Elephas maximus indicus: one gene and its partners. The protein of the gene in region 1 binds, or shares a complex with, the protein of each later gene. Links are inferred from orthologs where the notes say so. Each region holds a gene or a part of one and is shown on either strand. Other genes may lie near its edges.

Region 1 (7,607 bases):
AAGAAAAAAGACAGGGAATTTGGACCAATGTCAAACACTGCAGAAAGTTTATCAAAGCAGAAAGCTACTCAGTTGATAGTGCAGAGATTTCAGCCTTGGGGAATTTGCCTAACTGAGTGCATTCCAACCCTGGCTAATCACTACATTATTTGGGAAGCTTTTTAAAAATATGGGTTCCGGAATGATTTAGTAGGTCTGGGGTGGCTACCATTTGGGACCCACTGGTCCAAACATACCTAATTTAGAATGTGATAGTCAATCTGGAATCACTATTCAGCTATTTTTCAAGCGCTCTGAAATGTCTTTCTGTCACAAATTCTTACATGATTTTAACTATCACTGAGAACTCCTTACAGAAAGGACTCCACTTACTCCTGAACTCCCCAGGTAATTTTGACAATCAGCTGAATATGGGAACTCTTGGTCACTATAACGAAGAGCGCAACTCTAAATTTCTAGATGTTTATTACAGTTTTATGTAACTTTTTTTTTAAATGCCCTTGTGAAGGTAACTGTCTCATTCTTAAGTTATTAATAAAATTTACATGTTGAATTTCCACTAGCTGAGCTGACTCCTAGTCTAATAATCACTTGGCACGTATCTTGATTTCTAAAGATCTGAGGTTTTAAAGTAGTTTTGTTACTAAATATACAATATAATTTTGAATGTTATTCTGAAAACTGAATCAGTTTTATAACAAAGTAAGAAACGTGAACTTCTAAGTCATAGTGAAACAGTGATGACACTTGTAACTTCTTTAAATGTGCCTCTGGAAGTGCTTATTGGGGAAATCCATTATTCCAACAAGCACACCGATTTTGCCGAAACTTTAGATATCTATTATCTAAATTCACTTTCATCTTTGGATTGACACTTCCTCTCGGAAGCCTGTCCTGACGCCCCAAAGGGAGATAATTTTTTCTTCCTCTTAAGATTTTATCTGTGCTACTTTTTTTTTTTTTTTACTACTTTTAGGGAAATTATAATTACTTTGTACTGTTCTATTTTATACACAAATTTATACCTAAATTTGTACCGATACCTGGCACATATTTGTTGTTAGGTGCTGTCGAGTCAGTTCCAACTCATATCGACCTTATAGGACAGGGTAGAACTGCCCCACAGGAGCTTCCAAGGAGCAGCTGGTGGATTTGAACTGCCAAACTTTTGGTTAGCAGCTGAGCTCTTCAGCACTATGTCACAAGGGACCCTCAATATATGTAACCTAAAGTAATAATATAATTTTCTCTATTCAAGGTAAAGGTCCCTGGGTGTCACAATTTGCTCTTGTTTACTAAACTAAAGATTGGTGGTTCAAACCCAACCATCAGTGCTGCACAAAAAAAGCCTGGATATATGCTTCTACAAAGGTTATGACTGAGAAAACTCTAAGGAACAGTTCTACTCTGTAACACATGGGGTTACCATGAGTCAGAATCCACTCCATGGCAACGGTTCCCGCCCCCCGCCCTAAGTATCCTAAGTAGCTCTCAATAACTGCTCTCATCACATATAAGGATTAGTTTCAGCCTGCCTCTTTGACTATACTATGTGCAACAATGGGCTCAAACATAACACCAATAATATGGATGGTGCAGGACCGGGCAGCGTTTCTTTCTATGGTACACTGGGTCGCTATGAGTTGGAACCAACTGGACTCGACAGCACCTAACAACAACACCTGCTTCCTGAAGGCAGGTACCGTGTCACGTTCCGTTTTGTATTAACCAACTAATACCAACGACTGTGAGAGTTCAAATGTTTTGTTTAAAGAACTGTACTCATCAAAATACTTTTGAAAGCTGACAAGTTTTATGTTGTTACTTGGTCAACTACAGTTGTTTAATATGCCTACTCAATTCATTATCAGAGAAAGACACTACCCAGGTATTTTCTCTTGTCATATAAATCGCAAAATATTTTTACATTTTGCCACACATTCTGGGCTAGAAAAAATGTTGCCAATAGGTTTTGCTCAAGTGCAGGTGGTTGGATAGTGGGAAATAAGGGGCGGGGTATCTATGGAAAACCTACACTGCGAACACACAAAAAGAGATTCAGAAATTAAGTGTATTAAGAGATTTACATCACCTGGTTACATCTGGAAGCCACTGTGCAGTTAGGCTGGGCCACTCCAGAGCATGGGTCATCACCAAATCATAAAGAAAAGGGGTGTTCTTTTTCCATATTTTGTACTCCTCGTTGATGACACGTTCTTCCACGGCATCATCAAAGGCTGCTAAAAAAGAAAAAATAAATGAACTTAGCAAACGAACGGAAACCGATCACACCCGGTACCACTAACAGCACGGCTCCTGGGTTCTCATTTTGAAATGGAGATTAAGTTTGTCCAAATCCTTCCTAGGCAGAGGCACCAATTCCCCTCTCAGCCTTCGTAGGGCAGGAACTACTCTCGGTTCACTGCCATCAGACACTCCGTTACCCGTTCCGTGCGCTGGGCCTTCGGGGCACGCTCCCGTCCGCCACTAGTCTACAGGACCGGCGAGGAGGCCCGAACACCAACCCCTGGGGGTAGGGAGCGTTGCCGAGAGGCCGACAAAAGGCGGCATAGGAGGACAGGGAGCGCGGGGAGGCCGCCGGGCTGCTAGGGGAGGGATGAAACACCCTGCGGCGACCGGCACCCCCTCTGGAGGTCCTGGCGCGCCGTTAGCCCGCCCCGCGGGGACATTTCTCCTCAGGCCTTCGACGCTGGTAACCGCACTCAGCAAAGTCGGGCCTGTCCTCACTGTTAGGCCGTGTCGAGGCCGCAGCAGAGCCGCAGCTCCCCTTGGCCCTTCTAGGACGGCCCCGACACCCTCACCTTCCTTGTCGGCCATGGCGGGCAGGCGAGCCGGGAGGGAGCCGGGAGTCGAGAGTTGCGGGAGGGGCGGGGAGGCTGCGGGCGCTCGCTCCGCGCGCGCGGCCTCTATTGTTTCCTGCTGCCCCTGCGTGAGGCCCGACTCGCGCACCTTCGCGCCAACATCGGCCAATCCGGGCGCACCGAGCGGCGGAGTAGGCGGGAGAGCCGCGCTCGTAGCCTATCCAGACGCGCAGAGTTGCTTTTCGCCGGACCGAGGCGCGCGCTCCGCCCCCTCCCCCACACGGCTCAGAGCCGACTTCCTTCGTTTGCGCGCGCGCGCGGGGCCTGGCGGGAGTGCGCACGCCCGAGGTCACGTGAGAAGGGTTGAGCCTTTATACTCCTGGGGGCCGCCATTTTCTTAAAGGCTGTTAATCTCAGGATCCTCTCAAAGCACAGTACTCAGATAAGAAATCTAGAATGTTGTTGGGTTTAGTTATCAATTCTGGAGGCAATGGAGAGAAAAGGCCCCTACCGTTCAGGGCTTAAAAAAAAAAAGTTGCCCTCGAGTCGATTCCAACTCATAGCGACCCTATAAGACAGAGTGGAACTGCCCCATAGGGTCTCCAAGGAGCGACTGGTGGATTCAAACTGCCTATCTTTTGGTTAGCAGGGAGCTCTTAACCACTGAACCATCACGGCCCATTCAGTGCCAAAGCCAAAAAAAACCCACTGCTGTGGAGTGGAGTCATACTCATAGTGACCGTAAAGGACAGAGTAGAACTGCCCCATATGGTTTCCAAGGAGCACCTGGCGGATTCAAACTGCCGATCTTTTGCTTAGCAGCCATAGCTCTTAACCAGTACACCACCCCACCAAGGTTTCCCATTCAGGGCCATAGGCCGTAACTCAGGTGTCCCTACTCCCAGGTCCTTCAACTTGCTTGTTGCTAAGAACTATTGATGAAGTAAGGTCAGAAAATGGGGTCTTGGCCCTTTAAAGGTGCACTCCAGGCGGAGGGGCCTAGGACGGAAGGCTTCGGAGCTAATATTTGTACGCCAGCTCCGAAATTGGAGTCTTGGCCCTTTAAAGGAGTGTGCCAGGGAGCAGAGTCAGAGCGGAAGTTGTAACCAGATCCGAAGTCCAGCAGATGAAGGGCGGAAGTAGGGTGCCCAACGTTGTAATCATGGCGCAAGACGGGGGACAAGATGTAAGAGACTACAATTTGACTGAGGAGCAGAAGGCAGTCAAGGCCAAGTATCCTCCAGTCAATCAGAAGTACGAGTGTGAGTAGATGGCTCTCTTTTCAGATAAGGGCACGGGACATCTCTCCTTACTGTATCCAGTCTCGCCTACCATCCCGCCCTATAAGGTGTTTCAGGGATGATCCCATTCCTCCCTGCTGTAGACGCTTTTGGACTTGTCCAGGTGATGCTGAATGAAAGAGCCACCTGGTCTGAGAGTTGAGAAACGTACGCGTTGCCGTCGAGTCGATTCCGACTCATAGACTTAAGCTCCCACATTTACAGTCTTCAACTTCTTTCACGTACGGCTAATCACCTTTTTCTTGTGTGAATTTTATTAGCATATTAACTCTAAAAATAATCGTATTTTTAAGCGTTTCCAAGGGTGTCGCTCCTATGTATATCCAACAGCTGGATAGTTAGATTGTCGTTAGGAGAGAGGACTCGGCAAGCCAAATAGGCCACTTCACTGCGTTGGAACTTGGTATTTTACATGGATCGTGATGTTAGTAAATAAGAGCTGGTTTTGCCATTTAGGCAAATCACATAACTTTGCATTTCAGATTCTTCATCTGAGGATTCAGTGAAATAATATTCAATGTAAAAGTAGAGTGCAGACTTTTGAGTTCTACATAAACGTTGAGCTGTCATACCTAAGCTGTATGTAGTTTGAGGAGCACAAATCTGACTCTTATTTCCCTGCTTAACATCCTTCATTGATTTCCCATTGTCTCTATAAAGTCTGTTTACCATAGCGTGCAAGTCTCTGTACTTCTGGACCCTGCATATCTCTATGCATTTCTTTCTCACTTAAAAACCGTTTTAAAATTTTATTTTTAATGGGCGATATGTGATTCGAAATTCAAAAGGTGTAACAGGTATTCCGTGAAAAATTAAGTCCTTCAGCCCTGATCACCATCCATTACTCCTCCTCTCTAAATCAGGCATTGATACCATTTTCTTATGTGTACACGCAAAGATGTTCTACCACCTGCTTTGTTTAACCAGTTTCCGGTTGATGGACGTTTAGGATGTTTCTTCTCTTTTGCTGTTACAGACAGTGCAGCAGGGAGTATACTTGTATATCCATCGTTTTGCACACGTGCAAGTGTATGTGCAGAATAAATTTCTAAAGCTAAATTGCTTTGTCAAATTATATGTGCATTTCTTACTTTGGCAGTTATTGTCAAATTGCCCTCCATAGAGGTTGTATCAATTTTTGCTGTCACTAGCAGTGTAGGAGTGTGCGTCTTCCCTTACAACTTTTACCAGTTTTGTGTGTTACCCTACTTCTTGGAATTTTCAATTTTAGTATCTTGTCATAACAGTTGTATTTTTCTTATTACATATGAGTTGAGCATCTTATGGTATGTTTGGAGCCAATTGTATGTCCCCTTCTGGAAACTGTATATTCATATTCTTAACCTACTTTTCTATTGGGTTTTCGGTCTTTTTTATTATACAGAAATTTATTCTTATGTAGTCATTTTAACCGTTTCTTTTTATATGTAACCAACAATTCAATTAAGGTATAGAATATTTCCATCACCCCAGAAAGTTCCCTTGTTGTCATTTTTAACTTTGTTGGTAAATAAGCCACCTTGAGGCAAACACTGTTCCAGTTTCTATCATCATAGTTTAATTTTGGGTGTTTTAGAGTTTCATGTAAATGGAATTGTACAGTACGGACTATTTTATGTCTGGTTTCTTCACTCAGTGTAATGGTTTTGAGATTTATTTATTTTGTTGCTTTTTTGTTGCTGAGTAGTAGTCCATTGTATGATTATACCGCTGTTTATTCTCTTATTGATGGACGTTTGGGTTGTTTTTAACTTTCAGGAATAAAGTTTCTGTGATCCTTCTTGTGTCAGTGTTTTTGTGGACACATCTTTTCATTTATCTAGGGTTAATACCTATCATTTTCTTTCTTTTTACTTTTTAACTTGTTTGTGATCTCTGCTAGTCATTGAGCTCTCTTTGCCTAATAGTAAACTGAATACCAAACCCATTGCCATCAAGTCGATTCCAACTCATAGCGACCCTATAAGACAGAGTAGAACTGCCCTGTAGAGTTTCCAAGGAGTGGCTGGTGGATTTGAACCGCCAGCCTTTTGGTTAACAGCCAATCTCTTAACCACTATGCCTCCAGGGCTGCAATACTTAGTAAGTCCTCATGAAATATTTTTGAGTGGATTAGAGATGAATTTGAACCTTGATTGCCACCAGAAGACTATGTTAACAATAATAAAAAAATAATAATAATAGAGTTTGCAAAATGCACCAAATTAGGAATCGGAAAACCTCAATTCTAGTTAATCCACAGTGTGGTCCTGAACAAGTCACATAATCTCTCTGGATTTCAGATTTCTTCTTGTAAGTGAAGGAATTGTACTAAATGGTCTCCAAGGCTTGCTTCTAGCCTTAATATTCTATGACCCTAAGTGGGAAGAATGGTTGAAAGTTATGATATGGGTGAAGAATAGACTGAAAATATTGAGATAACAGATCCAGTGGGAACATGCTATGGTAGGATTTGTTACTTTCTAGTTTTGTTTTTTTTAAATTGTGTCATTTAGGGTGAAAGTTTACACAGCAAATTAGGTTCTCATTTAACAATTCCTAGACATTACTTAGTGATATTGGTTACGTCTTTCACAATGTGTCATCATTCTCATTCTTTCCTTTCTGGTTGTACCATTTCCAGCACTCTCGTCTCCCTGCCCCCTTACCGTCTCATCTTTGCTTTACAGTAATTTTTGACCATTTGGTCTTCTAAAGATGATTTTTTAAAGGAGCTCGTTACTCACAGGTGATATTCTTTATGAGCCAATCTGTTATTTAGCTAAAAGGTGACCTCAAGAGATAATTTTGGATTAAGGTTTAAGGAGTATCTCAGGGCGATAGTCTTGGGGAGCCCTCTACCCTTGATTGGTCCAGGAAGTCTGGACTTTTTAAGAATTCGAGTCCTGTTCCAAATTTTTCTTATTCTATCAGGATTTATCTATTGTGGCCCTGACCAGATGGCAGCCGGGCACCATCTAGTTCTTCTGGTCTCAGAGTAGATGAGGCCGTGGTTCATGTAGACTGTTAGTCCTGTACACTAGCTGAGTTTTTCATTTGCTTCCTTATATTACTTAATATGGCTCCTCTAGCCACAGTCTTTGTGACTCCCACATAAGGATTCGGTGGGATTATGCAAATAAATGGCTTGTGGCCTGTAAAAATAATGTGGTGGTGATGCTTGACTTCCTCTAACTTTACGAGGGAGAAAGAATCAAGATCAGCAGCCCAAGGCTGATTCTTATGAGGCAGAGGTCAGACATGTCTCCTGTCTCCACCATCCTTACCAGTTCTGATACCAACTGTCCCTCCCATGACACTCTCTACTTCTCTGCTAGGTTCAATAATTCATTGCAGTGGCCACAGAGAACTTGCAGACTATACTCACGATTACGGGGTTTATTAGGGAAGTAACAGGTTACAATTCAGGTTTAGGAATGCTCAGGATACAGTTTTTCCATCAGGACAGCCTCTTCCCAGTCATGCCCCAGGGATGTGTCTCTCC
Region 2 (7,472 bases), on another chromosome or scaffold:
CCTGGATCTTACCAGGAAGAATCACTTTCTTAAAGGCTTCTCCCCAGCAATCCCCATGTCACCCCTCCAGTCAGCCACAGTTCCATTCTTTCCCTTTGCCACCTGCGTAAACGCAGGAAGTGAAGACAGGGCAAATCCATAAAAGCAAAGGAGACACCTTTCCATGTACATACGACCCCCAAACTTTTCAGGCAGATAATGAGCTGACGTGGCAAATAGCAAACTGGCTAAGATATAGAGGCAGATTTGGGAAAGGGGCAGGAATTGGGTGTGGCAAGTGGAAAAACTGGGTCATGCTACAGCTTGGGGCAGAGTTCACCCAGGGAGTCTGCACATCTCCCAGTCAACACGGGTCAGCCCCACACCAAGGGGCCACTGGGAGGCCAAAATGTGGAACCAACAATAGCTCAACAGCACTAACTCTCATGCCCCTCACAGAAAGGACAAGATCATCTACCACCATCACCAACTCACAACCCTCCTTGGGCAATAGCGCAGAAATCTGCCACCCTACCCTACACAGTGATGAGACTCAAGCCTAAGTTTTCTATCCCAACAGCTGAAGACTCAGTAACATGAGAAGAGGACACCAAGACTGACTCCTCTCCTAAGTGGCCTCAGGTTAAAGAGAAGGCTTCCAACTTAGAAAATGCCAAATGTGGCAGCATCTCTCCCAGACCACCTCAACTTCCGGCTGGAGCTAAAAGAGGGAAGGCAGAAGTGAAAGACATTTGATGGGAAACAAAAGCAAGACCAGTTTGCTCCAGAATAAGGAGAAAAATATAAGCAGGAAAGATTTAAAAAATGGCACGTAGAAAAAACAAAGCTAGAAAAAAAAGATCAAGACAACAAATAGGTGACTTAACTAGGAGCTCTGAACAAGAAAAGACAGATGAGAGAGACATCTGCTTAGGAGCATGACATCAATCATCATTTGATGATAGACAAGGGCTACTCCAATCAGGCATGGTGGTTATAACCACACGAGTTTGGCCAGTCCAAGGAAGCACCTTAAAACACTGATAGCACAACCCTTAACACCTTCACAAATACTACATACCACTATCTCAAACCCCAGGCGACAGGCACAGAGTTCTGCCTCAGAGCTTCTGTGGAAAAAGCCAAGATTATGTCCACTCACCAGGGGAGGAGGAGTGCCCAGCATGTCACCTCCCTTCTTCAGCCTCTCCTAGTACAACCTTGAGGCTATTACATGCTCCTCTAGCCCCTATATCTCCACTCAAAACATTCCAGCAATCTGCCTGGCTAAAAGCACTCTAGATCCCGGCTGAGGAGCGCAATTCAAACTTCACACAGTTGAAACATAGAAAACCGGTAACTGATCAGAAGCTAAAAATAATCAGATAGCGTAAAAAGCTCTTTCCTTCCTTTCCGCAGTAGCAACTACAGTATTCTACTAACACAGATGCCTAGCCGGGGTCCTCAAACAGAATCCCTCGACACCCCATCCCAATAGCCTCCAGGAGTCCCAGCTACCCGCACTCCTCCAAGGACCCACATATGGTAATGCCTGCCAGTCAAGAGCGCTCCCTCATCTGGGAACTGAGGAGCATTCCTCCAGAACAGTGCGGCAAGCAGGCATCTCAGTCCAGGTGCCCAGAGGCACATGGCTTCCACCCGCCTCACACAAGAGCTCTGCAAAAGAGAACCACTCCCTTCGGATGCCCTCCACCTGAGACTGCAGAGAGAGACAAGAAACTCAACCCTGCCTTACCAGAATCACTAGGGAGGACCCAAATGCCTCCTTCCTGCCCTGGGTCCTGGGGGAAGATGTTACCTGGGTGGGGTGGGGGCAGGCTGTTGTTCAAAAGTGCATCCATATCCTCCTCCTCACTGCCCGCTGAGCAAGGGGACGGGGAGCCCAGGCCCGACGCCATCCCCTTCCGCTCTTGGCCAGGGAATTGGCCCAGCTGCTCCTGCCTGCGGCCTGGGGCCCTCTACACTGGCCCGAGTCACTGTGCGGGGGAGGGGGGAGAGAAAGAGAACAGTCAGTGACGCGCAGTCCCCCTCCCCCACACCCACCCGCTCTTTCCGCCCACCACTACCACCGGCCCCCCCCCCCCCCACCCAGCCACCCTAGCAGGGCACCCGAACCACTCGGGCTGAACTTAGTTCCACACTCTTCGGGGGCAGCCCGGAAGCCAGCTCCCCAACAGGAGCCCCTAGATGAGAAGGAGCGACACCCCTGAGGGCAGGCTGGTGCAGCCGTGGGGAGGACAGAAGCCGGCTGGACTGAGCAGGGTGTGACGGGGTGGGCGGTGGGGGGCGTCCGAGTGGCCGCGGCGCGGGGGGGGGGGGCGGTGGTAAGGGCAGGAGAGGAGGCGGGCGGTGAGGCGCTCGGGGACACAAGGTCACTTGGGGGTGGGGGGGCGCCTCCCTGCGCCCGGGGAGGGGCCAGTCCCCAGACAGGGCAGCTCTCCAAAGACTGTCCTCTGGGACAACTCAGGTTCTCCTCAAGAGCCGCGAGAACGAGGGGGCGTGGAGGTTCGGGCGCTCCGGGGGTCCAGGGGCAGGGACTAGGTGCAAGGGAGCCCCCATCGGGAAGGGGGCAGGGCCACGTGTCCCGGGGGGCAAGAGAGCAAAGGGCGAGGGGGCGGGCGCCGGGCATTGTGGGAGACTAAGCCCGGGGTAGGGGGCGCGGGGAGCAAGACTCAGGCCTGGTTAGGGTAGAGAAGGGAGGGTGCTGGGCACCCTGCAGGGAAGGGAGAAGAAGGATTGGCTCCTCCGGACAGAGGGCAGTTCGCGGGTCTGGGGACGCCTGAGGAAGGAGTGGGTGAAGGAACGACCCTCCGGGCTTGTCGAGCTGTGAGGGGCGTCTCTCAGGGAACCCCGCGCTCTCCTCACCCCGGAGCCTTCGCAGGTCGCGCAGAGGCTGGCCCGGTGTCACTCCCGCTCCGGCTCCTCCTCGCCGCGGCCGAAGGGGGGAAAATGGCTCCGGCTCCAGCGTCGCCTCTTAAAGGGCCCGAAACACCGGCCGGGAAATCCCACCGCACAGGCCCCGCCCCCCCGCGGACAGCCCATAATAACCTCAACCAACTCCAACCCCCCCTTCCACTACCTCCAGCCTCCTCCCTAGGTCTCCCGGGCAACCCCCGCCCCCTCGTCGCTCAGGCAACCATTGGCCACGCCCCTTCGAGCGCGCGCGCGTGTCACCCGGGCAACCGCCCACCTCCTGGCCATCCCATAATACACACGGACACCCCCCCACACACACACACACCCCTACACACACTCCATACACGTATATGTCAGAACTGCTGACATCCCATAATATTGCAGACCTTTGCCACTAACCCTTTGCAGCATCCCATAATAGCCATCCTTCTGCCAACTTCTTCACTCTTCGCCCTAATGCTCACATCCCATAATAATTCATCACCCCTCCCTTCCCATGGCCATCCCATAATAAGCACCCCACACAGCACACCAGCCTCACATCCCATAATACTCATCCCATCCCCCCAGACATCCCATAATAACCACTCTTCATCCACCCCCAGTTTGATATCCCATAATAGTCAGAAACTCATCCCCCCACTGCAACAACGGACACTTGGCCTCCTCCCACACACACCCCGTAATAATCAGTCTCCCACTTTCCATACTGACATCCTGTAATAACTAACCCCCTGGAGCTGCCCTCGGTCCCTGCAGGCTAGGGTCTAGATGCACACACCACCCCCAGGCTTCACATTTTCATTCTAGCTCCTCAGCCCATAAGGACCACCCCTTCCCTATCAAAAAGATAGCCTATAATAGACCAGCAGTCCTACTGCTACCCCACAGATGGACACCTAATCACCCTTTCCCTTAACCCTGGAAATATATCCCATAATAATTTTACTTCCCCACCCACACCCTGACATCCCTTAATAATTGCAAGGGAGCCATGGTCAACCGGACATCATAATACTCTCAGCACAACCCAGGGTCACATCCCATATCGCTTCATCTCCACCCCACCACCCTTATATAGTACTGTTCCAGCCAGGCATCCCATGATATTCATATACCTCCCCATCTCCAAATGCTGTAAGCCTAATCTATTAACACCCAGAGCAGGCAGGGCAGGCAGGCTACCCACACTGCCTTGTCCCCGCCCCCACTCATACACAGCTTCAACCCTTTCTGGGCCACCCACACTGCCTTGTCCCCGCCCCCACTCATACACAGCTTCAACCCTTTCTGGGCCAAAGCAAGTACCCTGGCATAAAGCCTCTTAACCTGTAAGACCGTAGCTTCCATCATCCCATAATTTCCAGACACTCAGGAGTTGAGAGCTAACCTAGGGCCCCACCCAATCACACTAAATCCAGGAGTTCTCCAGATGTTCATCTCCTGCCATTAAGTTTTGAGTAACCCGAACCCATTGCAGTCTAGTACATTCCAACTCATAGTTTTGAGTAAGACCAACCAAATACCATGCCGGCCAGATGAACAATTTATATGAAGTTTAATTCACCCCAGAGCATCCCATAATAATCACAAATTTCCATCCAAAGACTACTTCTCACCATTCCAGCAGTCCTCTCCCCCATCGCCTAGCCTCCAGCTCAGGGACCATTCTTCAACACCCCTGGGCCACTCCCATAGATGGGCATCCCATTCTGATGTGAACTGAGAGCCCTTCAGTATATATATACACAAAGAGCCAGGACCTGATCTCCCTCTACTTACTATTCACTACTACTCACATTCATTCAGCAGATGTTGACAGAGTACCTAGCAAGGCACAGAGCTAGGCAACATGGGGAATGCAAAGACCATGGTGCCTCCCTTAAAGAAGCATATGCAACTAAACAAACTGTGATAGAAAATAGAAATGTCTGGTGCCAAGGGAGAACAACTGAATGCTATTTCCTAATTTCCTGTTACAGAGAATAAAGCAAAGCCCAACTGGTTTCAGGACAGATCATATCCTAGTAGAGGTTTTTGGTGGTCCTTCTAGAGGTATTTTAAAATACCTAGATATTCTAAAAGGGTTTACAGTATAGACGGATGGTCAAGATTATCTAACCCCTACGTACTAAGGGACTTTGATAGGAAGGCAATGTTCATTCACTCAGCATTCCTAATAATGAAATCCTATAATTTTATCATGTGCTTCCTTCTTGAGAGGCTCATCAACAGGCCAGAATCATTATCCTCATTCTTCAACATTAAAATTCCTGCTTACCCTCAATGTCATTTTTTAACTCCTTGCTCATTTTATATCTCGAAGTCTCATAACACAATTGCCCAAATCTCCATCTTATTGAGGCCCCATTCTCCACCAAAAAAACACCATAGTTGCATGATGTTCACTATTTGCCCCTTCCCACATACAATTTCTACATACCTACTGACAGGACTAACTAACAGGATGCCTTCCTAATTCAATTATGCCACAAGGTAAAAAAAAAAAACATTGCCACCGCCGGGAGTCTAACTCATAGCGACCCTATAGGACAGAGTAGAAGTGTCCCATGGGGTTTCCAAGGAGCAACTGGTGGATTCAAACTGCTGACCTTTTGGTTAGCAGCCAAGCTCTTAACCACTGTGCCACCAGGCTCCCAATATATATTATCCTTTTTCCCTAACCATGCCTACCTTCCAGCCACCCTGGGGACCCAGTCCTAAGAAAGCCAGGAGATCCCAATCTTAAAGCCCTTTGGTCCTCAGAGAATCTGAGCCCACAAGCCTGTCACTTTTCCCTCTTCCTGGCCCCCGGAGAAGCAGGACCTGAGTGAGAACAATATTCCAGCATCACTGCTTCACTGTCTCTCTTCCTCAAGCCAGAGATGATGTCTACTTCTGCTTCCATCTGCCTTTTTCACACAGGGCAAGACATATGGAGGTGGGGCAGGGTGAAGAGAAACAGGAACTCCCTCCTAAGAGGGGCCCTTCCTTACCTCACTCCATATCTTCATTGTCCTAAGGTCATTTCCCTAGAGAAAGGGCCCGACCAGATGGTTCTCCCCTCCTCTGGGAACTAAAGGACTGGGAGAAGTGGCAAGGAGAAATGAATTCAGGTGCAGAGAGAGCTTGTTTCTCCAGGAATTTACAATCCCAGGCAGAGCACCAGTGATGCTAAGTCTTTCCACCAGCTGCTGCCTAATGGTATAATCACTAGCATTCTATGTTTAACTCTTTTCTCATTTTAGGACTGAAGTTTTCAACATCAAAGACCTCAGGTCTTGCCAAGGACTCTCACGGCTACCTTTGCATTTCATATATTCTTTTTCCAATATTTGCTCCAATTCTCTGGACCACCTTTTTGCCACACTCATGTGGCGTGATGGCCATTTTCCCCACTCTGCTAGGCTGTCTGTAGTTTTCCTCATTACATTTTCTTTACTTCAGGATTAAGCCCCATTCATTTGTCCAAACCCTCCCCTGTGCTTATTCCAAGTACTGAGAATGAACTTTGCATTGCTCCCAGAGGGGAGAGGGGCAGCTCTTTTAAGATGCCATAATGTGAGCACACCTCCCTTCAAGTTTTCTCCTTCGTACACAGAGTGGCCAAATACCTATTATGCCCTCCTTATCCACATTTCCCTAGGGGATTCAGCCTGTCTCTGGGCCTCAAATTCCTTTCTGTAATATCTCCATCTGCCCCACGCTTTTTTCCTCTCATACATATATACCACATTACCACAGTGATTCGTAATATAAATCAGTAAGCAACTTTTACAACTGAGTACGCACAGCCTATTGTCCGTGATTAAAAATACTGGTGCCCTTTGCCCACCACAATCCCTCTTTCCCTAATCCTGCAGCTTCTACCCACTTATTCCCTTTCTTCCCTATCTTTTCACATCTTTCTGATACCACTAGGAGAAAGTTTAAATTCTTTCCTCTCTTCTTGAGTTCCAACAAGGGCTACAACATGTGTACTTATGTGTTGCTCTTGTGGTCTTTATGCCCCTCCCTCCCTACCCAGGTCCCATGCTACCTGTCTAGATAAATTATAAATAAACCACTAGTGTGATTGGCCCACAGAGACCACTGTGGGATAATCTCCTGATTAATGCACCCAGGGGGACAGCCTCTCTAGTCGGTTACCTTAGAGTTCTGTTTCCACCCCGTGGTACAGAAGAACCTAGAATAACACTCAGAGTGAGTTGTCCGTTAAGTTTTCAGCGTACGCTCTCTATTTCCTCTCCCTACACCTCTAGTCTGTGTGAAACCAAGAAACTCTGCTCAGGTCTAAGGTACTCTGCTGCTCCATCAGGAAAGGCAGTTTGGAAAAACAGCGTAGGGGAAAAGAAGCCACAGTGACAGTGCACTCTGACGGCAAGACAGAATGCAGGTTGTGTGGACTTGAAGGGTGGCAGGTGAGGCATTAGTCCTTCAGGAGCCAACCCATGTCTCTGTTCCTTGGGTCTGACTGCACACAAAAATAAAGTTTCCCATGTGCAACCCTCCTATGTGAGCCATGGTCCCAAGGCTCAAACCCAGGAAGGCAAAGA
Region 3 (7,587 bases), on another chromosome or scaffold:
AGGGTGTGGGGGGGGGAGGGGTGTGCACGGTGCCTGGAAGAGTTGGATTAATTGAAGGCTGAAGTGATCAGATGAGATGGTGACAATTTGGGCTAGGCTGATGGTGAAAAGTAGGTAGATTTGAGAGACATTTAAAAGGTAAAAGTTACAGTAAAGGCTTAAATATGGGAAGTGAAAGGGGGAAGTGCCAAAGATGACCTCTACCAGATAAATAAAAGAGCTTTCATTAAGAGAGAAACCACTAAAATTATCTCTGTCCTGGAGTGGGGTTATGAGTTATATTTTGAACCTGTGAAGTTTGAGGGGCCTTTGAGGCATCTAAGAGAAGATGTGAAATAGGTAACAGATGTTAAGTGCAAGAGCTTAGAGGAAAGATCTGGGCTGAAGATAGCCTCAGTTCCCTCATACAGAAAATCAAACTCTTAAAAAAGTACTTACCTCAAGTGAAATAAGGTTAAACAAATATATGTAAAATGCTTTGCATAGTGTCGGTACCCAGCAAGTACTCAATGGCAGCATTTATTGTTGGTAATTTTATGTTGGTTATTAGCTAATACCTGGTGGTGTAGTGGTTATGAGCTACGGCTGCTAACCAAAAGGTCGGCAGTTCAAATGCACCAGGCGCTCCTTGGAAACCCTAGGAGGCAGTTCTACTCTGTCCAGTAGGGTCCCTATGAATTGGAATGAACTCAGGGGCAATGGTTTTTTTTTTTAAGCTAATATATTTTTTATTAGTCGCCTTGCCTAAACTTGGCAAAGAAACTTGTTATTTCCAGTATCAAACCGAAATCTCTTTTCTTTCTCAAGACCCTGCCCGGTTTCATTAATAATGCCTCTTCATATAAATGAGGTGCTTCTGTATACTTGATTCAGGGCAGTGTGACAAACCAGGTAAGGCAATCCCTGCTTTCAACAAGTTATACAACACATACACACAATATACCAGAGATGTCACAAACTAATAAAAATGATCAGGTCATACAGCTTGAGAGTGGAGCTGCAATCTGTTCCCATAAAGATTGCAGCCTAGAAAACTCTATGAGGCAGTTCTACTCTGTCACATGGGGTCGCAATGAGTCAAAATCAACTAGTCAACTAGATGGCACCTAACAACGACATGACTCCCAGGTTCCTTCAAAGAACAATAGGAAGTCCTCAATAAATATTTGATGATGTAGATGAAGCAAAATATTCCAAATGAGAGGTATACTGAAAGCCACTTACAATACCTCTTATTCAACAGAATGACTACCAAAAAAAGAAAAATTCTAAAAGGGGTAAGTCATCTTTACAGTAAAGATGATGAGGATGGAAAGAAAAAAAAAAAAAAACTTTTTCCAGATAAGAACTAGGTTGTGCTTAGTAGGCCCATTCTTACTTGGTAGCATCCTAAGTCACAATGAACTGTATTCTCCAATCAAGAAACAAAACTCACAAACAGGCTAGAGCTACTATCCACATGTGACTATTTAAGCTTAATTAAACAATTTAAAATTCAGCTCCTCAGTCCCTCTAGCCACATTTCAAGTACTCCATAACCACATGTCACTAGTGGCTACCCTATTGAACATCACAGAATAGAACATTTCCATCACTGAGAAAGTTCTATTGGAACTTAGCGCTGATCTAGAGCAAATTAAAAACACAAACTCTTTTTAATACAACTTTTCACTACAACTTGAGCTTTTTATTTACTTTATAGCGCATTAAGGATATACAACCCCATAAAGAAAACAGAATTGGCTGTATATAGCTCTCATTTTAAGCCTATTTGCCTTTTTCACAAATGATTTTACAGTGATTGAGCCTTCTTTTTATTATACTAAAACTCTGACGAATGATACATACACATAAACTGAATAATGAGTGTGGACTCAGGACCTTTTTTGTACTTTGCTAAAATACTTGCCTTTTTACATAACTTGTGCGATTTTTAAAATTACAAAATGAAGTTCCACTGTGCTTTGAACTATGGAGTTGGTGCTTTTACTTAGTAAACACATGTGAGCTGGTATGTTGCAGAGATCCCATGGATGGCAGAGTAGTCATGGTTAGTGAGCCCTGCACAGGGGCGGGTGTCAGGAAGAGTACTATATGTATGCTGTGTTGGTCACATCCCTGTGTACAAGGTACTCCCATGACTCTTAAGGACACACACACACACACACAGAGGAAAGTCTGTGGGATGGAGGCTACCTGAATGCTTGTGTATCCAGTCTGGATTACCTCTGGAAGGGTCCACAGCCACCTGTGGTCCCAGGGGAAGGGGCTAGCCTCTTGACACGGAAACACTTCTAGAGGTGGACACACCGGTGGGGAGGAGGGACAGGGACGATCACAAGTGCCCATAGAGGCAGGAACTAAGACGGGACAAGATCAGAGGCTGAGGCAAGAAGCCGGGGTTGTGACCACCCCCTCCCGAGCGCGAACCCTCCCCGGCCCCGGGACAGGCGAGTTACATAACCCCGGCAGGCGTCTCTCCGCGCCCGGTGACTGGTGCAGGCGGCGAGGGCAGCCCCCGCGCACCGGGGCCGCTCTTCCTCCACCTCGGCCGGGTGGCCCGAGTCCGGCCAGGGGAGCAGCCGCCGCCTCCTCCCGGCATAGGCTGGACTCCTGAGCTTTCGGTTTCCGGCCCTGGCGCTCACACAACCCCAGAAACCTACACACAGACACCATAACAAAGGCGGCGACACGGCGGCAACACCGGAGTGGAGGGACTAGGAGGACTACGGTGGGGCTGGCAGTCAGTCCCCCCTCCGGCGGAGGGCACGGCGGCCCCTCCTGGCCGGAAAGCTTCGGGGCGGGCGGCCGGGAGGAAGAAGGGGGGGTGTTTTGAGGTGCTACTCACTCTCGTCAGGCAACTGGTCGAGCTCCGCCATCTTGAACGAGCCGCGCCGCTTTTTCAAAGGCTGCCCGCCGCGGTGCATTGTGGGGCGGAGACTGTCTTTGCGAGGGAGGTTCGAATGCGAGCTCGCTGCCCTCGGCGCCGCTCCGCGCTGCTCCCGCCGCGGCGGGCTGAGGTGGGCCGGGCTCCGCCCGCGCCTGCCCCGGGAGGTGGGGCCGCGCCTCGCCCCTCCGCCTGCGCCCCGGGCCGGGCCGGAGGGCGGGAGGAGGGAGATGGCGCGGAGAGGCCCGTCGCGCACCTCCCCTGCCCGGGCCCGGCGCCGGAGCGCGGGGGGAGCAGCGCGAGCTCCCGAGTCCCGCCCGGGCCCCACTCCTGGCCCGCGCCGCCCGCCCCCTCCGGGGCTCGCTCCCGGCGCGCGTTTCTTGTCTCGCGCTGCAGCCGCGGGAACTGCAAGCTGTGTGTTCCAAGGAGGGGAAAGCAAGGGAAGGTGGGAGGGAGGCCCCGGCAGGCTGAGGCGGGGGCCGGGAGGAGGCACCTGTGGGCCTGGCGTGGCCAGAGAAGCCCTTGGTTCTCGGTCACGTTGCCCGAGGGGCTCCACTCGGAGTGTATTTTTCAGAGTTCCCAAAACCCACATTTCTCCTGCGCCTTCATCCACTCTTTTTTACGGAGGAGTGGTTCGTGCACTCAGGCCGCAGCTGCCTCGCAGTGTCCGCCCAGAATTCGGGATCCCTGCGGCCCCCTTCGAGCCGGGGACCTCCTCCCGACTGTTGGAACCTGCGCTGCACGGAGCCTAGGAGAGAGACCTTGAGAGGTCATGAAGTTAATCGTTTAGGCCGGCCCCTACGAATCGTTCTGCTCAGCGCCTTCATCCATTCTGCCCTGGCTCATACAGCGAGCTGGGAGAGAGTTACAACACGAATAACATGAATAACAGGTTTCCTGAGGATACAGACAGAAACCAATAGTGATACTACAAGGTGATGGAGTACCCTGATCAAAACTTGGAGAGACTCCTGGATGAGGATTCACCGTTTTCAAAGAAGCCCAGAGAATGATTTCACAATTCCTGTCTGTAAAACTGTCCAGTGATAAACCACCGCTGCTTTTCAACAATTCGCTTAAATGTTACCGAGCTCCAGTCCTTTCCAGGAACTTCTGGAGGAAGGAGGTTGTGGGGGAGGAAGGGAGACAAACAGTGAAAATACAGGATGGATGAATTCCAGGAAATAAAAAATGGTAGACCAAGATGAGGACCGAATCGTACACAAATGCCAGCCCAGGCTAAGGAGTTGGACTTGCCAAGAGCACTGGAGGCACGCAGAGAAGTCTTTGGTAGCATGGTTCCATTTGTGTTTTAGAACAAAAATATGGAACATGGATTGGCAGGGGACAAGATGAGAGTCCTAGAAACCAGTCAGGAGGAAGCCTGTTGGGGCAGGCACAGGAGAGGAGAGAGATGTCTGTACTAGTGGCTGCACAGGTTTGGAAGGCCTGGGTTGGTATTCCGGCTGCTAGCTGTGTAATCTGGAACCAAGTTTCTTAATTTAGTTCTCCATGCTTCAGTTTCTCATCTGTGAAATGCAGATAATAACAGGGTTGTTGTGAGGGTTAAATGATTTCATAGATGTAAAGCCTTTATAATAGTACGTAGCACTCGTTTTGACTCAAACGTTAGCTACTGCTGCTGCTACCGCTACTACTGAATAGGAAGTATCAACAGAGATGGAGGAACAGGAAGCTTCCACCTCTCAAATTGTTGCCATTAAGTGCCCTTGAGTCGGTTTCCACTCATAGCTACCCTATGCACAACAGAACAAAATCCTGCCCGGTGCTGCGCCACCCTTGCAATTGTTCCTATGCTTGAACCCATTGTTGCAGCCGCGGTGTCAATCAATCTCATTGAGGGTCTTCCTCTTTTTCGCTGACCCTCTGCCAAGCATGTTGTTCTTCTCTGGGGACTAGTCCCTCCTGATAACATATGCAAAGTATGTGATAGGTAGTCCTGCCATCCTTGCTTCTAAGAAGCATTCTGGCTCTTCTTCCGAGACAGATTTGTTCGTTCTTTTGGCAGTCCATGGTGTATTCAGTATTCTTTCTCTAACACCACAAAGTCCTCAGTTCTTCAGTCTTCTTTATTCATTGTCCAGCTTTCTCATGCATATGAGGCAATTGAAAACACTATGGCTTGGGTCAGGTGCACCTTAGTCCTCAAGGTGACCTCTTCCTTTTCAACACATGAAGAGGTCTTTTGCAGCAGATCTGCCCAATGCCTGTTTTGATTTCTTGACAGCTGCTTACATGGGTGTTGCTTGTGGATCCAAGTAAAATGAAATCCTTGACAACCTCCATCTTTTCTCCATTTATCATGATACTGCTTATTGGTCCAGCTGTGAGGATTTTTGTTTTCTTTATGTTGAGGTGTAATCCATACTGAAGGCTGTGGTCTTTGATCTTCATCAGTAAGTACTTCAAGTCCTCTTCACTTTCAGCAAACAAGGTTGTGTCATCTGCCTATTCCAGGTTGTTAATAAGTCTTCCTCCAATCCTGATGTCCTGTTCTTCTTCCTGTAGTCCAGCTTCTCAGATTATTTGCTCAGCATACGGATTGAATAGGTATGGTGAAAGGATACAATGCTGACACACACCTTTCCTGACTTTAAACCATGCAGTATGCCCTTGTTCTGTTCAAATGACTACCTCTTGATCTGTGTACAGATTGCTCGTGAGCACAATTAAGTGTTCTGGAACTCCCATTCTCTGCAATGTTATCCATAATTTGCTATGATCTGCACAGTCTAATGCCTTAGCGTAGTTAATAAAACATAGGTTAACATCCTTCTGGTATTCTCTGCTTTCAGCCAGGATCCGGATATCTGACATCAGCAATGATATCCCTGGTTCCACGTCCTCTTTCGAATCCTGCTTGAATTTCTGGCAGTTCCCTGTCGATATACTGCTGCAGCTGCTTTCGAATGACCTTTAGCAAAATTTTACTTACTTGTTTTGTTATGATGTTAATGATACTGTTTAATAATTTCCACATTTGTTTGGCTCACCTTTCTTGGGAATAGACATAAATATGAATCTCTTCCAGTCAGTGGACCAGGTAGCTGTCTTCCAAATTTCTTGGCATAGCCAAGTGAGTACTTCCATTGCTGCATCCGTTTGTTGAAGCATCTCAAGTGGTATTCTGTCAATTCCTGGAGCCTTGTTTTTCGCCAATGCCTTAAGCTTAGACTTCTTTCTTCAGTACCATTGGTTCCTGCTCCTGTGGTACCTCCTGAAGTGGTTGAATGTTGACCAGTTCTTTTTGACATGGTGACTCTGTGTATTCCTTCCATCTTCTTTTGATGCTTCCTGTGTCATTTAATATTTTCCCTATAGAATCCTTCAGTATTACAACTCAAGGCTTGAACTTTTTCTTCAGTTCTTTCAGCTTGAGAAATGCTGAACGTGTTCCCTTTTGGTTTTCTATCTCCAGGTGTCATGGATTAAGTTGTGTCCCCCAAAAAATATGTGTCAACTTGGTTAGGCCATGATTCCCAGTATTGTGAGGTTGTCCTCCATTTTGTGATTGTAATTTTATGTTAATGCAATTAGAGTGGGATTGATCAGGGGTCACCTCCCTGATCAGTGTAAAGGGAGTTTCCCTGGGGTGTGGCGTGCACCACCTTTTCCCTCTCAAGAGATAAAAGGAAAGGGAAGCAAGCAGAGAGTGGGGGACCTCGTACCACCAAGAAAGCAGCACCAGGAGCAGAGCACCACCTTTGGACCTGGGGTCCCTGTGCTTGAGAAGCTCCTCAACCATGGGAGGATTGAGGACAAGGACCTTCTTCCAGAGCTGACAAAGAAATCCTTTCCCTGGAGCTGATTCCTTGAATTTGGACTTTTAGCCTACTTTACCGTGAGAAAACAAATTTCTCTTTGTTAAAGCCATCCACTTGTGGTATTTCTGTTATGGCAGCACTAGATGACTAAGACACCAGGTCTTTGCCCATGTTATCATAATACTTTACTTTGTCTTCTCGAGCCACCCTTTTAAATCTTCTATTCAGCTCTTTTATTTCATCATTTTTTCATTTTGCATTAGCTATTCAATGTCCAAGAGCAAGTTTCAGAGTTTCTGACATCCATTTAGGTCTTTTGTTTCTCTCCTGTCTTTTTAATGACCTCTTGCCTTCTTCATGTATGATGTCCTTGATGTCATTCCTCAACTTCTCTGGTCTTCGGTCATTAGTGTTCAGTGCATCAAATCCATTCTGGAGATGGTCTCTAAATTCAGGTGGGATATACTCAAGTTTGTACTTTGGCTTTTGTGGACTTGTTGTAATTTTCTTCAGTTGCAACTTGAACTTGCATATGAGTAGTTGATGGTCTGATCTGCAGTCAGCCCCTGGCCTTGTCCTCACTGATGATATTGAGCTTTTCCATCATCTCTTTCCACAGATACAGTTGATTTGATTCCCATGTATTCCATCTGGCGAGGTCCATTGTATAGTCACTGTTTATGCTGGTGAAAAAAGGTATTTGCGATGAAGAAGTTGTTGGTCTTGCAAAATTCAATCATGCTATCTCCAACATCATTTCTATCACAAGACCATATTTTCCAACAACTGATCTTTCTTCTTTGTTTCCAGCTTTTGCATTCCAATCACTAGTAATTATCAGTGCATCCTGATTGCACATTTGATCAACCTCAAGAGGTGTGAAAAAGTTAGGCTTGGCAGTTCACTGGATGTGAG
Region 4 (7,024 bases), on another chromosome or scaffold:
ATATATGTAGCTGACAAAGAATTAAAATCAACAGTGCAATATATGTTTAGGTTTCAAAGCTCACAGAATTGTCAGTAACAGAAAACAACATATGTGATTATAAAATGGACAGAGAACCGGTTAGGGAGGAGAGGGTTCTGACATTCAAACATCCGTGTCTAACCATAACTTTAAGTGCTGGGAACAGCATTAGCCAAGAAAAATCAACAACAATACTAATAGGTAGATAATGCCACACACTGAAGATAAAAACTTTTGAGTTGACATAAATTTTCACTTGTCACCCTGCTTAATGAAGTTACTTTATTTACGAATTGTTTGTATTTAAAAGTTCAAATGAAAAGGCCTAAACCAGTACTTCAGTAATCATCATTACAGGACCTTTTAAAATCTCTTTTCTGAAGATCAAGAGGTTAACTGGGTCCTTGAAGTTCTAGAACAGTGGATTCTAAACCAGAGGTGATTTTGTTCCTCAAGGGTCATTTGGCAATGTCTTGGAGACATTTTTTGTTACTGGCATTTATTTACTGAGTAGAGGCCAGGGATGCTGTTAAGAATCTTACAATGCGGAGAACAGCCCCCGAGGACAAAGAGTCATTTCATCCAAAATGTCAATAGCAGTAAGGCTGAAAATCCTGCTCTGGATAAGTGGGTTTTTCATGTGTATGTGTGTGTATACATTTGTTCCAGCTCAAGGGTCTGCCCTATACTGTAGTTGCTACAAAATAATAAACAAGGACTTAGTTTACAGTTTATGTTGATTTCTGCAAAATATTTTGTGCATACTAGAACCTAAACCAAACCCACTGCCATCAAGTCGATTCCGACTCATATCCAGACCCTGTAGGTTGGAGTAACACAGAGTTGGGCTTCCAAGGAGCAGCTCATGGATTTGAACTGCCAGCCTTTTGGTTAGCAAACGAGCTCTTAACCATGCACCACCAGGGCTCCTTGTGCATACTTGGTGCTTAACAAATGAATAAAGCACAATATGTGTAGTTACTTCCAATTTTGAGTTTTTAAGAATCTTCAGTAAATGAATCCAAGTGATAAATTTCGGCTGAAGAAACACATCTCTAGTTAAGAAGGCTGTGGATCTAGATAAATAAAAACATTGTGAAATTATGCCAAACATCTTTTCAGGTTTACATGATACTGCAAATTAAAAAACACCCAGGGTTCTTCTGTTTCCATCATTTAAGTGGTTACTCCACACAATTTAGAAGTAGCTGCTATAGTAATTGGCTTTTGTTTTTGTTTACTATAGTCATACACAGATAAAAATTAGATGTATAAATTTATCCTAGCATTTTCCAACAACAAAAAAAATGTGCCCTATCTCTGTGCAACACATAGGTACAGTCAGAACCAAACACGGACACTCAAAATATTACGTGAGTGAAATACATTGTTTTATTTTAAGCACAAGCTACTGATAGTAACGATGTGACATCCTCCCAGTAGAAAATATTTTAAAATATACATAAGCTGAGAGCATGGGTACGAATGATTACAGAAAACAGGAGAAAGGTACTTTCTCTTCAGCTATTCCTCGGAGAATTTTCCATACCTTTCAAGGTAGCCAAGTTGAGAGTGGGGTCCCCGCCCAGGTTTATCAAGAAGTTCCTAGTTAACGGGTACAGTGATTCAGAAAAGAGAGTCCCTCTGAGCCCCGTGTTCCAGTCCTCCAGGCAGGACACTGCCGTTTGTATCTGCGTAGCTGTCCCCTGAAAGCGCGCAGACTTACCTGGCCAGAAACCCTTTCCCACCGAGAAATGGCTCTGAGCAGTTAGGGGGCTGGACGCGCGCTGCGGGGAGGATCAGCTCAAAGGAGCAACCTGGGCAGCTGTTACTCCATTTCTGTGTTTTAATCACAGTGGTCCCCAACTCTCCACACGCCGCGGGGGCCTCCCCACAGAGGGGCCGCAGCGGCTGTGGGGCAACGGGCAGGCAAACTCTACCCCGGCTGGGGAGAGCCCGGGGAGGGACGGGGGGACGGGAGAGGGAATCTAAGCCAGATGGCGCCGCCAGGCCTGGGCAAAGGGGATGTCACCCACCTGCGCGACCTCTTCGCCATCCTTCAAGTACCGCATAGGCGCGGGCTGGGCGGAGACGCAGTTCAGCCTCCTCCAGCCTCAGGCGAATGCTCCTTCTCCCCGACCTTCCCGCTAACTTCCCTCGCACCCTCCCCGGAGCTGCCGAGCGCGGAACGCACGTCCCCGCAGGGCAGGACGGAGGGACAGAAGGGCGGACCGCGACCCGCCCGGACCCGCAGCCCCGCTCCTAGCCCAGCCCTGCCCGGTCAGGGATGCCCCGACATATCAGGAGGCGCGCTCTCGCCCTCTGCCTGTCCCTCCGCCGCCCTTCAGCCTCCTCGCTGTAGTCCCAGCGCGGCTCCGCAGAGGGCGACGACCCCCGCCCCGCCCCGCCCCGCAGCGAGCAGCTCTGCAGGGCTCGCAGCCTCCTGCAGGGTTTTGTCCGCACCGCCGAATCTCGCGCCCAGCCTCCCTCAAGAGCCGCCGTTTGAATCTGCGCACGCGGCCCCGAACCTCATTGGCTGTGGCGGCCGCAGCCGGGGGGAGGGGGAAGGGTGGGGCGGGGAGAGCGCGCGCGACTGAGGGCGGGGAGGGGAGCTGGAAACTGGGACTGGAACTCGCGGGAGTCGGGGCAGGAGCCGGGAGCTGGGGGTGGGGCCGCGAGGGGCGCGCGGGCCGCGCTGTGACAGGAACCGGAGCGCGCCCAGCGCAGCAACGCGAGGGGGCGGGCCCTCGAGGGCCGCGCGCGGCCCGCTGGGAAAGCGAGTTCCTGCGCTCGCCGAGGGCTGAGTCGGAAGCCGGGGCGCGTCAGCCCCAGCCGCCGCCAACTGCCCGGGCGGGCGGCCCCGCGGGTGGGCCGGTGTACCTCTTTGCAGCCGCTTCTCCGTCTCCGTTCTTCCCTCCTTGGGTGTATCCCAGCTCAATAGGAGGTGAAGTCTTCAGACTTGAGATGAATCTGACCATAAACCTACGCGGCCGTTATTTTTTAAGCAAACATTTAAGCTGTCTTTGCCCAGACATCATAGTTACGGGAGTGGCGAAGATTGTGGCAGGAAACCGAATTTCACCTATTTTTTCCCCCCAACATGGCAGGAGTGGGACAGGTGAAAAAAGGTTTTCATCAGGAAACGTGTTTAGAACGGGAAAGGGAAGTAATTCATCTGCGGCTGGTCTTTAAAGTGCTTAATCTCCAACCCCGCTGTACAGGAGTTATTCGGTGTGCATCGTGGAGGAGCCCTAGACCGGGAGGAACATGCAGGGAGACAGCAGTGCGCTGGGAATCTCGCCCAGATTCAGAGTAGCTTTGCCTGATGAGTACGGTAGTCAACAAGTGACCGTCCTTCCGCAAGAGACAGAGGGAAAGGAGCTGCATTAGAGAAACTTCTAGCAGAGGTTCCAAGTTCAGTAGCTACGAATTGCTCAAATCAAGTAGATTAACTATATTAACGATCAGAAATGGCCAAGGATCCAAATTTGCAAGGCAACATGCTCTACTGCATAGAGCACTGAACCACATATTAATATTGTAACATTAACTGGCATTTTGCTATTTTGACATTTCACGCGTCATCTTTTGCAAATCGGAGATGCAGGTGCAAATGTGAATTAAGAGGAGCTTGCATGCAAGTTACTGTCAAAACACCTGCCTTCTTATAGTTCCTTTTTCTCAAGGTAGGGGTTCTGGGAAGGTAAAGAAGCTTTTCTTGTAAATCATTCCTGTGTTGGTGGTCCACTTTAAAAAACAAAACAAAAACACCTAATTTAGAAAGCAATGTCATTTGGAGTCAGTGTTTTCTTATTTATTCCTAGTCATACACTACTCCGTCATTTATATTCTAACAGCAGAGCTTCTGCCGTATTTTAGGATATAGTCAGTTTTACACAAAATAAATTTTTAGAACTTGAAGGCAGGCGTTTGAAATTTTGACAGTAAAATAAATCCCTCTCATTTTACAGGCAGGAAAAAAATTTTCCTCGGGAAGATAGAACATGGCAAAATAAATTAGTCATAAAACTAAAGACAAAGTGTGGAACTAAAGTGGTAAGTCATTTGAATTTACATACTCTATCATAAACCAGGCTGGTTTTGGATAGTTAATGCTTCTCAAGTTTGTCCAGTGAAGTACCTGCCCTCAAGGTAGAGAGGATTGAATACTAAGGGGAGCAGGAGGGGGAGGAAGTGTCTGGGAGCAAGTGTTGAAAACTTCTTTGAAATCTATCTTTAAAAACTCATGTAAAATTTTGCATTCTATTCCATGATAAATATATTCATGTTTTTATTATAAAAACATTAAAAACTGCTTTACTAATTCACTTTCATACTCCACATCTCTAAGTAAATTGCTTCCCAAGAAAAATGCACCATGGTCATCTTTCAGACAGCTGTCCCTCTTCTCATCCTCCCCCAGTCAAAGGCCAGATACTCAAAAAGTTTGCTTATACTAGTCTGAAAAGTGCCTAAAAGATTGTGCTTTTAATAGAGTTGTATCAACCATTCTCATACGGGGATTTTTTTTTTTTTTTTGTCTGTTTTATTCCCTGCTAGATCCACACAGCCCCTGGAATAGTGACACAGCAAGATTTTGCTCAATAAAATACTGTATCTGTAGAATGAATGAATGAAAAAGGGCAAAAATAAGCAAGCACTTAAATATTCATGGTCACAAGTTGGCAAAAAAAAAATTAAAATAGATTTGAAATAACACTTTGTAAATACTAAATTGTTCTAAACCATGCGAAAAAGATTTTAATAATTTCTCGGTGGGGGTGTTACTGAAAACTGATATAATCCTTTTGGAAAGCAATATCAAGCAAAAGTCATAAGGATGTACATAGCCTTTGAAAGACATTTTATGTTAATAACTGAATAGAAGCAAAAAAAAAAAAACCCTGTTAAATCCAATGGACACTTGAAGAAATAAATCCTCATCTTACCTGCCCTTTCTACTGCATTTGACTCGATTACTGCCTTTTAATTGAAACTTCATCTCAGTTTCTGTGACATCACCTCCATGATGTCCATTCTATACATCCCTCAAACCACTTTGCAAGCCCCCAGCTCTGCCTGCTCCTTCAAGGTTGGCATTCCCCAGTATTCAGTATTCAGTTTTTAGCTCTGTTCTCACTTCACACTGTCCTAAGGAATCTCACCCACTCCTGTGGTTTCAATCATATCCTGTAAGCACAGGATTCAGCAGATCTTTACTTCCAGCCCCAACCTCCCTCCTGAACTAGATCTCTCTCCACCTGCAAGAGCTAAAATCCCAAAATTCAACCTCTTTGTAAGAACAGGATTCACCTTTTTATTTATTCTCTTTCCATTAGCCTCTCCTCTCCATCCCTACTGCCAGTGCAAGCTCTCATCTCTCACTCAGCTACAGGAAGTCTTTTAACTGATTTTCCAGCCTCTAGTTTTGTCCAGTCCAATACATCCTCCATACGGCCACCTGAAGGATCTTTTAAAACATAAATCTGTTTTTTTCTGCCCAGCTTTTAAAAGCAAACAGAGTAGTGGTTACCTAGAACTGAGGGGAAGGGTTGGGAGGAAATAGGAGTGATTGCTAATGGTTATGGGTTTCTTTTGGGGGTGATGAAAATGTTCTAAAATTAATTGTGATTGTTGCACAACTGTGAATATACTAAAAACCATTGAGTTGTACACTTGAAATGGGTGAACTGTATGGTATGTGAACTATAGCTCAATATTAAGCTGTCATATTAAAACAAAACATAGCTTTCATTGGCTTCCCATTGCCTACAGGATAAAGTCCTTAATATGACAATAAGGTAACTTGATGATTTGGTCCTACACCTATCACCCAGCCTCATAAAAACTATTATCTGATAAGCAGCTACACACTAAGTTGCACTATGTTAAGTATTGAACATACATTATCTCATCTATGTTACTAATAGAATTCCCATCTTACAGATGAGGAAACTAAGGCTAAAGTGGTTTAGTATTACTAGAATATAAAATTGGAAATGAGATAGCCTAGTAGAAAGATCTGAACTCAAGATGCTTAGGAGAGGAGGAGGTTCTAGTTAATCTAAGGCATAATACTTTACAGGTATTAGAGTAATTATGAGTATGTCACTTATTTACCTGCACCTTATTTTTAAGTGCATTTTCATGTGCAATTTTTGTTTTAAGTTGGTACTGGGTCTCAGTTTAGAGATCTAGGTTCAAATGTGACTCTGCTATTATTTTCCTAAGTTAACCATCTCTTAGCTAGTTGTACCTATAAAAATTAACTTATTTGAGAAATATGATAGTAATTTAGAAGCCAGAATGATGATTTTTACTGGTAATGGGTTGAGGTGCTACACCTGGAACTGCTTTTGACAACAAACATAAAGGATAAAGTAACAAGTAACTTCAAATACTTATACAAGAGTTTACAACTATATAATGCAACAGAATAAACACCTGATCAAGAATCAGGACAGCTGAAACTTTCTATGTGATCTTGGTCAATTCATGTAATATACTTGAATTTTTTGTACACATCATGCTTTCCATGCCTCTGTGCTTTTGCACATATTTATCCTCTGTCAAGTATGCTCTTCTTTGTCTGTAAAATTTCTGTTTACTCATCAAGACCCAACTCAGATGTTACCCTCTCTGGAAAACCTCCCTAAATCCTCCCTCTACCACTCCCTAAAGATTCCATTAATCATTATCTTCTACCTCTGTTCCTGGAATATATCTCTGCTGATGCATTTATCACATTTCAGTATAATCTGTTCTTCTCTTATTCATTCTCTTAACCTAACAGACTATGAGTTCATTTATCTCTATAGTACCAATGTCAATTGAGTAGGTGTTCAATAACTTTGTTAAACTGAACTGAGTGATAAGATTAATACTAAACAGTATTTCTTTTCATCTAAGAATGAGGGATCCCCTATGCTGTGTGCCTAAATCCTTCCTATTACACTAATATACATGAGGATCCCTCATTCATGGGGTAATGTGATGGGCCATA

The links.
Region 2: RBBP4 (region 1) and CHD4 share a complex: the UniProt entries of both Homo sapiens proteins name them as parts of the nucleosome remodeling and deacetylase (NuRD) repressor complex. The link is inferred for Elephas maximus indicus from reciprocal best matches to the Homo sapiens genes RBBP4 and CHD4.
Region 3: the proteins of RBBP4 (region 1) and LIN9 are in contact, whole or in part, in a crystal structure (PDB 7N40), measured with the Homo sapiens proteins. The link is inferred for Elephas maximus indicus from reciprocal best matches to the Homo sapiens genes RBBP4 and LIN9. Residues at the interface, in NP_005601.1 of Homo sapiens: Ala11, Glu14, Arg15, Val16, Ile17, Asn18, Glu19, Glu20, Tyr21, Lys22, Ile23, Trp24, Lys25, Lys26, Asn27, Pro29, Phe30, Leu31, Tyr32, Asp33, Thr37, Ala39, Leu40, Glu41, Trp42, Pro43, Glu75, Pro87, Asn88, Asp89; in NP_001353174.1 of Homo sapiens: Phe107, Arg108, Asn111, Leu112, Lys114, Leu115, Lys117, Ala118, Lys120, Trp121, Ile123, Tyr124, Glu125, Trp126, Phe127, Tyr128, Leu135, Phe136, Asp139, Asn140, Asp141, Phe142, Cys143, Leu146, Arg156, Lys157, Leu158, Thr159, Arg160, Val161.
Region 4: RBBP4 (region 1) and MYBL1 share a complex: the UniProt entries of both Homo sapiens proteins name them as parts of the DREAM complex. The link is inferred for Elephas maximus indicus from reciprocal best matches to the Homo sapiens genes RBBP4 and MYBL1.

The regions. Positions count from the first base shown.
Region 1 is NC_064821.1:73,476,932-73,484,538, reverse strand, and holds the start of RBBP4 (histone-binding protein RBBP4), read right to left. Parts: upstream 3,003-7,607; 5' UTR 2,839-3,002; coding exon 2,823-2,838; intron 2,241-2,822; coding exon 2,093-2,240; intron 1-2,092. Other genes in the region: ZBTB8OS (protein archease), read left to right, coding at 3,949-4,084. UniProt on the Homo sapiens protein: Core histone-binding subunit that may target chromatin assembly factors, chromatin remodeling factors and histone deacetylases to their histone substrates in a manner that is regulated by nucleosomal DNA.
Region 2 is NC_064822.1:63,380,742-63,388,213, forward strand, and holds the start of CHD4 (chromodomain-helicase-DNA-binding protein 4), read right to left. Parts: upstream 3,009-7,472; 5' UTR 2,866-3,008; intron 1,977-2,865; 5' UTR 1,899-1,976; coding exon 1,799-1,898; intron 1-1,798. UniProt on the Homo sapiens protein: ATP-dependent chromatin-remodeling factor that binds and distorts nucleosomal DNA. Acts as a component of the histone deacetylase NuRD complex which participates in the remodeling of chromatin.
Region 3 is NC_064842.1:15,977,145-15,984,731, forward strand, and holds the start of LIN9 (protein lin-9 homolog), read right to left. Parts: upstream 3,021-7,587; 5' UTR 2,928-3,020; coding exon 2,849-2,927; intron 1-2,848. UniProt on the Homo sapiens protein: Acts as a tumor suppressor. Inhibits DNA synthesis. Its ability to inhibit oncogenic transformation is mediated through its association with RB1. Plays a role in the expression of genes required for the G1/S transition.
Region 4 is NC_064833.1:75,974,383-75,981,406, reverse strand, and holds the start of MYBL1 (myb-related protein A), read right to left. Parts: upstream 3,003-7,024; 5' UTR 3,000-3,002; coding exon 2,902-2,999; intron 2,388-2,901; exon of another isoform or gene 2,078-2,387; coding exon of another isoform or gene 2,058-2,077; intron 1-2,057. UniProt on the Homo sapiens protein: Transcription factor that specifically recognizes the sequence 5'-YAAC[GT]G-3'.